Callithrix jacchus: one gene and its partner. The main gene of each other region encodes a partner of the protein of the gene in region 2 in a complex. Links are inferred from orthologs where the notes say so. Each region holds a gene or a part of one and is shown on either strand. Other genes may lie near its edges.

The links.
Region 1: the proteins of ITGA2B (region 2) and ITGB3 are in contact, whole or in part, in a cryo-EM structure (PDB 8GCE), measured with the Homo sapiens proteins. The link is inferred for Callithrix jacchus from reciprocal best matches to the Homo sapiens genes ITGA2B and ITGB3. Residues at the interface, in NP_000410.2 of Homo sapiens: Gln49, Phe52, Arg72, Trp141, His143, Asn145, Glu152, Ala153, Glu154, Lys155, Pro157, Arg184, Phe191, Tyr197, Glu199, Phe202, Pro217, Tyr221, Phe222, Phe262, Asp263, Tyr265, Tyr268, Thr290, Trp293, Thr294, Gln315, Met316, Ala317, Tyr319; in NP_000203.2 of Homo sapiens: Ser188, Pro189, Tyr190, Tyr192, Ile193, Ser194, Pro195, Pro196, Tyr204, Asp205, Met206, Arg242, Asp243, Pro245, Lys279, His281, Ile282, Ala283, Leu284, Asp285, Arg287, Leu288, Ala289, Gly290, Val292, Gln293, Pro294, Asn295, Asp314, Tyr315.

What each region holds. Positions count from the first base shown.
Region 1 is NC_133506.1:87,132,240-87,136,409, forward strand, and holds the start of ITGB3 (integrin beta-3), read left to right. Parts: upstream 1-1,329; 5' UTR 1,330-1,364; coding exon 1,365-1,443; intron 1,444-3,573; exon of another isoform or gene 3,574-3,680; intron 3,681-4,170. UniProt on the Homo sapiens protein: Integrin alpha-V/beta-3 (ITGAV:ITGB3) is a receptor for cytotactin, fibronectin, laminin, matrix metalloproteinase-2, osteopontin, osteomodulin, prothrombin, thrombospondin, vitronectin and von Willebrand factor.
Region 2 is NC_133506.1:71,216,368-71,220,008, reverse strand, and holds part of ITGA2B (integrin alpha-IIb), read left to right. Parts: coding exon 1-100; intron 101-774; coding exon 775-842; intron 843-976; coding exon 977-1,124; intron 1,125-1,692; coding exon 1,693-1,785; intron 1,786-2,435; coding exon 2,436-2,515; intron 2,516-3,453; coding exon 3,454-3,534; intron 3,535-3,641. UniProt on the Homo sapiens protein: Integrin alpha-IIb/beta-3 is a receptor for fibronectin, fibrinogen, plasminogen, prothrombin, thrombospondin and vitronectin. It recognizes the sequence R-G-D in a wide array of ligands.

The DNA.
Region 1 (4,170 bases), about 16 Mb from region 2:
CCACCTACACTTCGCAGGGCTGACTCTTCCCCTAGCAAATTGCTGGTAATACTTCTGCTGATGTGTGTTACTATAAAGGTGTACCCTAGTGTTTGAAAGGGTGGGGCTGGACGTGGGGGTTTGTCAGAAAAAATTACACGGAAAAGATGGCATCTGAGATGTTTTGAAAAACAAGTGGAATTTTCCAAGTGGAAAAAGGAAGGAAAATCAGTCAGATAGGAAGGCATGGAGCATTTGGGAATGACAAGTATCTTCTTGGACTAGGGTGGGAGATAGGCTGGAGGGACGGTTCAGGGTCAGTTGTCCAGCATCTTGTGTGTCTCAGAAGAGGGTGGGCATGCTAAGAGGTCATAGGGAAGCCCAGGGCCGCTCTGAAAGCCCTACAGGGGAAGTGATGCCTCAGGCCTTGTTTTTATCACCATCAGAGCTACCCATTGAGATGGGCTGCACTGCCCCAGCTACTTCCTGGTGGCCTCTTGCTCATAGCCATAGTATTTTGCCTCTCTGAGCTTCCAGATGTTTTAAGTCTGGGGAAGATCCAGGGGCCTAAAGAAAGACTAGGGTAGGAGTTAAGGGGCCACAGGTTGGAGGAGTCAGGCAGGAGGCCTTTGAGGGAAATAGATAAAGCCCCAAAGCCTGTGAGTGTGAATTTGGAGGTAATATGCTGACTGTTCTGAAACGTTTTCGACACTGGCTGGGTGCAAGCAAGTGCTTGTAGGGAGAGGCTCTTCGTTGACCTATCACTGCTTACACAAGCTTGGGATGTGGTTTTGTCCTCAACAGGCTTAAAGTTAAACGGAAAACCAAACTAAGGTAAGAAAAAAATTAGTGAATAATAATGGACTGAACCAGTTCAGAGAAGGCATTCAACAGATGTTTGTCAATCAAATGAATTACAGTGGGAATGAATGAAACTCGAGGTAGTGGGTGAATATGTCCCAAGAATCTAGGTGAAACAGAGCCCGGGGGCGTCTCCCAGGAGGTGAGACTGGAAGGGTAAAGAGAGGGGCCACAGGCTCCTGGCTTTTTTGAGCACACCAAGTGCCCAGTCGCAGATCCCCGGGACTAGGATGCGCTCACGACCTCCTCGAGGCCTGGGCGCCTCGCCGGCTGGCAGGCGGCTCCCCGTGGGCAAGGCGAGGGAGGCGGGAGCCGGCGGGCGGGGGGAGAAGAGGAGCCGCAGTTTCCCACTGCTCCCTGTCAGGGGCAGGGTCCAGAGAAGTCCTAGGGGAGGAAGCGCGAATCCGCGACCCGCCCCGTTGCGTCCCACCCACGGCGTCCCCTCCCCTCCGGCTGCGGGAAAAGCGGCCGCGGGCGGCGGCGCCCACTGTGGGGCGGGCGGAGCGCGGCGGGAGGCGGACGAGATGCGAGCGCGGCCGCGATCCCGGCCACTCTGGGCGACTGTGCTGGCGCTGGGGGCGCTGGCGGCCGTCGGTGTCGGAGGTGAGTGAGGCTCTGGCTCTGCGGGGAGCAGCTCCTCCAGGATCCGCGCCGCGGTTAACTTGCGGACTTGGAGCTGGGAAACCCGGAGAACTGGTCCTGCGCGTCTGCGCTCAGAATGTGCGGGTCCCGGCTGGGGCCGGAGCCGGGAGCCGTGGACCTTCCAGGCCAGGCAGTGGCGGGGCTGAAAGGTGTCTAGTGCCTAGGGGCGGGTCCTCCGGGACGCCGAAGCCCTCAGCCAGGCTCAGTGCCTTCCCCGCCGCCTCGGCGCGCACGGTGCGGTCAGAGCATCTTTGAGCCCCGCGATCAGCCCGGGCTGAGCGCCTCGCGGGTGGTCCCGGCCGGGCCAAGAACGACTGGCCCGGGAGCCAAGGCAAGGTGGGGCTTCCGGGGGTTGTTCCCGTGCCTTGGCAGGGGGATGCCGCTGTGGCTTTTTGGGTGAGAGCGTGCGCGCGCGCGCGCGTTTGCCAGTTTCCCCACATTTCCAGTTTCTCCTGGTGTTACGATTTCTCCAGAAGGTTTTTTCTTTTTCCTTTCTTTTTTTTTTTCTTCAACTTGGCTTCCTGTGAGATTGTTTTGGAGCAGGAAGAGGGCTTTGCCTCCTCCAGTTTTCCCGGGTGCCTCTGCTCCCGGGGCAGACCCTGCACCCGAAAAAATCTCTAGTGTATTCGGGGAGCCACGAAAAGACTCCCTTGAGCCGGTGGGATATCTGGCCTCGTCTCTGGCTGCTGCGCACACGGTCAGCCGTCAGGGCAGTCAGCTTTCGGCCGCGTTGGTGCTGGGGTGGAGGAATGGAGCCGGCACAGCCCGGGGTGCTGCTCGTGGTCCTCTCGGAGCCCTTGGTGATTTTGCCTGGGGTGGGGAGAAACCCTGGCTCCTGGTCCGCTGGGGCTGCCTCTGCCTCAGAGGATGACACAGAGTTCATGTAAGCATTTTTTTTTTTTTTTTTTTTTGAGACGGAGTTTTGCTCTTGTTACCCAGGCTGGAGTGCAATGGCGCGATCTCGGCTCACCGCAACCTCCGCCTCCTGGGTTCAGGCAATTCTCCTGCCTCAGCCTCCCGAGCAGCTGGGATTACAGGCACGCACCACCATGCCCAGCTAATTTTTTGTAATTTTAGTAGAGACGGGGTTTCACCATGTTGACCAGGATGGTCTCGATCTGTTGACCTCGTGATCCACCCGCCTCGGCCTCCCAAAGTGCTGGGATTACAGGCTTGAGCCACCGCGCCCGGCCGTAAGCATTTTTAATAAAAACTGTAGTACCCATAAAACCATCTAGACCCTGAAGAAGGGATTATTTTGTTTTATATTTTTTTGAGACAGAGTCTTACTGTGTCTTCCAGGCTTAGTGCAGTGATGCGTTCTCTGCTCACTGCAACTTCTGCCTCCTGGGTTTGAGCAATTATACTGCCTCAGCTTCCTTCGAGTAGCTGGGATTACAGGCGCCTGCCACCTCGCCTGGCTAACTTTTGTAGTTTTAGTAGAGACGGTGTTTCACCATGTTGGCCAGGTTGGTCTTGAACTCCTGGCCTCAAGTGATCCACCCACCTCGGCCTCTCAAAGTCCTGGGAATACAGGAGTGAGCCACCGCACCTGGCCAGGATTTCTTTTAAAAAGGGAAGATTTGTTGATAAGTTCACTTCAAAGATAAACGATTCGAAATAGTGATTCTCTTCAAGACTCTTCTGTGTATAGACGTATATCTTATCCTGGACAGGGCCAGGGTATCTTGAAGGAGGGATTACAGTTGTTGTATAGGGGAATATTGCAGTGGTTATTGTTGAACTTTTCATGTGATAGAGACTAAAACAGATCAGCTGGTAGGGTTAGCCTGCAGTGAACAGGCTGCTGACTGTGACGCGGAAATAGGAATCTCCAGCATTCTGCCCTGGGACATATGGAACCTTGTTTCAGATGCTTCTGGCTGTTGATGCAGGGAATGGAGAAATACACCAGGGCCGCTCAGCTGTCTCTTACAGAGATGCCTGCTTCCATGCAGTTACAACAATTTTTGCTGTCATTAAGCATTTCTTACTTTCACAGTGTTCTAAATTCACTTTTGAGTGTATTGGATTCTACTGCATTGTCACACCTAAGTTTGCATTAAAAGATCCTTTAAGATATCTGGTCAGGTGCTCGCTTAGGCAGCACATATACTAAAATTGGAACGATACAGAGAAGATTAGCATGGCCCCTGTGCAAGGATGACACGCAAATTCGTGAAGCGTTCCATATTTAAAAAAAAAAAAAAAGATATCTGGTCAGGCACAGTGGTTCATGCCTGTAATCCCAGCACTTTGGGAGGTGGAGGTAGGAGGATTGCTTGAGCCCAGGAGTTTGAAACCACCCTGGGCAACATAGTGAGACCTAATCTCTACTAAAAATAATAATTAAAATCCTTAGGAGATGGTTCACAGATTAATCTTGTGTTTGGGGCAATTCCAGAAGTGGTGATGGGTTGTGCTGAGCAAGCCCCACACTCTCTCTGAGAAGCTGCAGAGGGTAGTTTTTAAGGGCAGAGGCTCTAAAGTCAGACTTCCAGAGTACTACCCTGGCCCCAGCCCTGCAAAGCAGTTTCTACCATATTTATAACTGCCATCCCAGTTTTGGTGGCAGGGTCATCAGATCCCTGGGGGGAAGCAAGCAGTTGGTGGGAGTGGGTATGGGAATGGCACAGAAAGGTTGTCCCAGAGTAGCAGAGTGGAGCTCAGGCCACTAGTAGAAATGAA
Region 2 (3,641 bases):
GAGCCCCATTGTGCTCAGCCTCAACGTGTCCCTGCCCTCCAAGGAGGCTGGAATAGCCCCTGCTGTCATGCTGCATGGAGACACCCACGTGCAGGAGCAGGTAGGGACAGGGACAGGCAGGGACAGGCAAGAGAGGTGCAGGACCCCTGACAGCAAGTCAGGATTAGGGTTAGTGCCATGTCATACTGTGAACCCCAAAACCTCAATGTCATTCCAAATCCTAATGAAAACCTCAAAATCTGGCCAGTCACAGTGGCTCACACCTCTAATCCCAGCACTTAAGGAGGCCGAGGAAGGCAGATCACCTGAGGTCAGAAGTTCAAGACCAGCCTGCCCAACATGGTGAAATCCCATCTCTACTAAAAATAAAAAAATTAGCCACGTGTGATGACACATGCCCATAATTCCAGCTACTTGGGAGGCTGAGGCAGGATAGTCACTTGAACCTGGGAGGCTTGCAGTGAGCAGAGATTGTGCCACTGCATTCCAGCCTAGGTGTCAGAGTGAGACTGTCTCAAAAAAAAAAAAAAAAACCCTCAAAATCCCAGTATCTCCTAAGCTCTGATGTAAATTGATAAACGCCAAAATTATCCCAAACCTCCAAATAAACCCCAGAGCCCTGATACCATCTCCAAACTCCCTTTTCGGCCTCAGATCTTCTTACTCCGTAAGCCCCTATGTGAACCCCCAAGCTCACTGTTTTCCTAACCCTGATGTAATCCCCAAACCTCACATGTCCCCAGCTTACTCACACACCCCAATGTGCCCCTCTAGACGAGAATCATCCTGGACTGCGGGGAAGATGACGTGTGTGTGCCCCAGCTTCAGCTCACTGCCAACATGTGAGGAGGCCTCCCACTCTGCCCAACCCTGGCCCTTTCTGCCCGTCATACCCACTCCCCACCTGAGTCGCCCTCTCCTCCCAGGCCCTGGGCCTGGACCCAGGGTCCCTGGCTTCATTCCTCTTTCCCCACAGGACCGGCTCCCCACTCCTAGTTGGAGCAGATAACGTCCTGGAGCTGCAGATGGACGCAGCCAACAAGGGCGAGGGGGCCTATGAAGCAGAGCTCACTGTGCACCTGCCCCAGGGGGCCCACTACATGCGGGCCCTCAGCAACGTCGAGGTGAGGCCCCCACCCTGGAGCAGTACCTGGGACCTGGGGGAGTGCTGCAGCCTCGGCTCTCTCATCTCCCTCCCTGAGAGTCCCTCTTCTCTCTTGCTTTGCTGTCAAAGATCTAATGTATTATTTTTTTAATTTGGAAAAGGAATCCTTGCTAATGGCACAGAATTCCAGAACTCTACTATAAAAACCAGAAAAACAAAAAAGGCTTAGGAACCAAATGTTAACAGGAACCTCTGTTCACCTGTGGTGGATTTCCTTCCAGTCTTTTTCTCAATATTGACCGGCACTCACATAAGTATATATTTATTTTTTATGTTTGTTAATGAAGTTTATAATAATGGGGACATACTCTAATGTTTTGTGTTTTTTATTTTCAAAATGAAAATTCATGAAAAGTAATAGTGCTACAGCAATGCATACACTAGCATGTGACAGTCCCCTGAGATCTCACCCCAAGAAACCTGCCTCCCTGCCTTGGCACACAAATCTCTCCAGACCTTCCAAGGGAGCTTAAATATATATATGATGCTCTGTAACCAACTTCTTTCTTGGGACTGCCTTCCTGAAGGGCTTTGAGAGACTCATCTGTAATCAGAAGAAGGAGAATGAGACCAGCGTGGTACTGTGTGAGCTGGGCAACCCCATGAAGAAGAACGCTCAGGTGAGGCTGCTGGGTCATGGTGCCAAGTCTCCACTGGGGACTCATGAACAACCAGATTTTAGGGGTGAGGTTTTAGAGCCATAGTTCTGGGCCAGAACCTTGGTCCTCACACCCCCTTGCCACATGTCCTTGGGTGAATGACTTTCCCTCTCTGAGCCCCTTTACCCAGTGGGCTTCCGAGTAAAATAGAAATAATAATGGTGACCTGCTGGGTGCAGTGGCTCATTCCTGTAATCCCAGCACTTTGGGAGGTCAAGGTGGGCGGATCACCTGAGGTTGGGAGTTCGAGACCAGCCTGGCCAATATAGTGAAACCCCCCCATCTCTACTAAAAATACAAAAATTAACTGGTTGTGGTGGGAGGCGCCTGTAATTCCAGCTACTTGGGAGGCTGAGGCAAGATAATCGCTTGAACCTGGGAGGTGGAGGTTGCAGTGAGCCAAGATCATGCCACTGCACTTCAGTCTAGGCGACAGTGTGAGACCTGCACTCCAGTCTAGGCGACAGTGTGAGACTCCATCTTGAAAAAAAAAAGAAAAAGAAAAAAATACTCATGGTGATGTTGGAGGGTGAGGACTGGAGTCCATGTTCAGGGCAGGGCTCCCTGAAGTGGGCATTTGGTCATCGATCTTGGCTCTCCTTGTCTCCCAGATAGGAATCGCGATGTTATTGAGTGTGGGGAATCTGGAAGAGGCTGTAGAGTCTGTGTCCTTCCAGCTGCAGATCCGGAGGTACTGACCTGGCAAGCACGCCTACCCACCTCCTTCCCCTGTCTGACCCCAAGCAGAGCCCCTCAGGTCCCTTCCATACAGAAGGGTCTTTCGAGGATGGGTACATTGACTCACACCTGTAATCCCAGCACTTTGAGAGGCCGAGGCAGGCGGATCACTGGCGAACAGGAGTTGGAGACCAACCTGGCCAACATGGTGGAACCCCATCTCTACTAAAAATACAAAAATTAAGGGGCCGGGCGCTGTGGCTCAAGCCTGTAATCCCAGCACTTTGGGAGGCCGAGGTGGGTGGATCACGAGGTCAAGAGATCGAGACCATCCTGGTCAACATGGTGAAACCCCGTCTCTACTAAAAATACAAAAATTAGCTGGGCATGGTGGCATGTGCCTGTAATCCCAGCTACTCAGGAGGCTGAGGCAGAAGAATTGCCTGAACCCAGGAGGTGGAGGTTGCGGTGAGTGAAGATCACGCCATTGCACTCCAGCCTGGGTAACAAGAGCGAAACTCCGTCTCAAAAAAAAAAAAAAAATATATATATATATATATATATATATATACACAAAAATTAGCATGGCGTGGTGGTGTGTGCCTACAATCCCAGCTACTCAGGAAGCTGAGGCAGGAGAATCACTTGAACCGAACCCAGGAGGTGGAGGTTGTGGTGAGCCGAGACTGGGCTACTGCACTCCAGCCTGGGTGACAGAGTGAGACTCCATCTCAAAAAAAGGGTCTTTTGAGAAAGCCCGGTTCCCTTTCTTCCTCAGAGACTGTGTCTGAGTCTTAGAGCCCTACAGGAAGTTCTTTCTCAAGTCTCACTCAGTGTGGCATGCTGTTTGTATAATTAGTTCTCTCGGAACTCTAAAATTCTGGCCTCATCCCCAGAGAGTCACTGGGCTGGTGTCCATGGCCCGGTTTCTCCTCATCCCCTCCCCTCTAGCAAGAACAGCCAGAATCCAAACAGCAAGATGGTGCTGCTGGAGGTGCCAGTCTGGGCAGAGGCCCAAGTGGAGCTTCGAGGGTGAGAGGCCAGGGGTGGAGAAGGGAGGTGGCAGAAGGGCTCTAAACTCCAGGGGGCGCTGGGGACCCCAACAGTCCAGTCAGGCCATTACACTCTCTCTGGGGGTC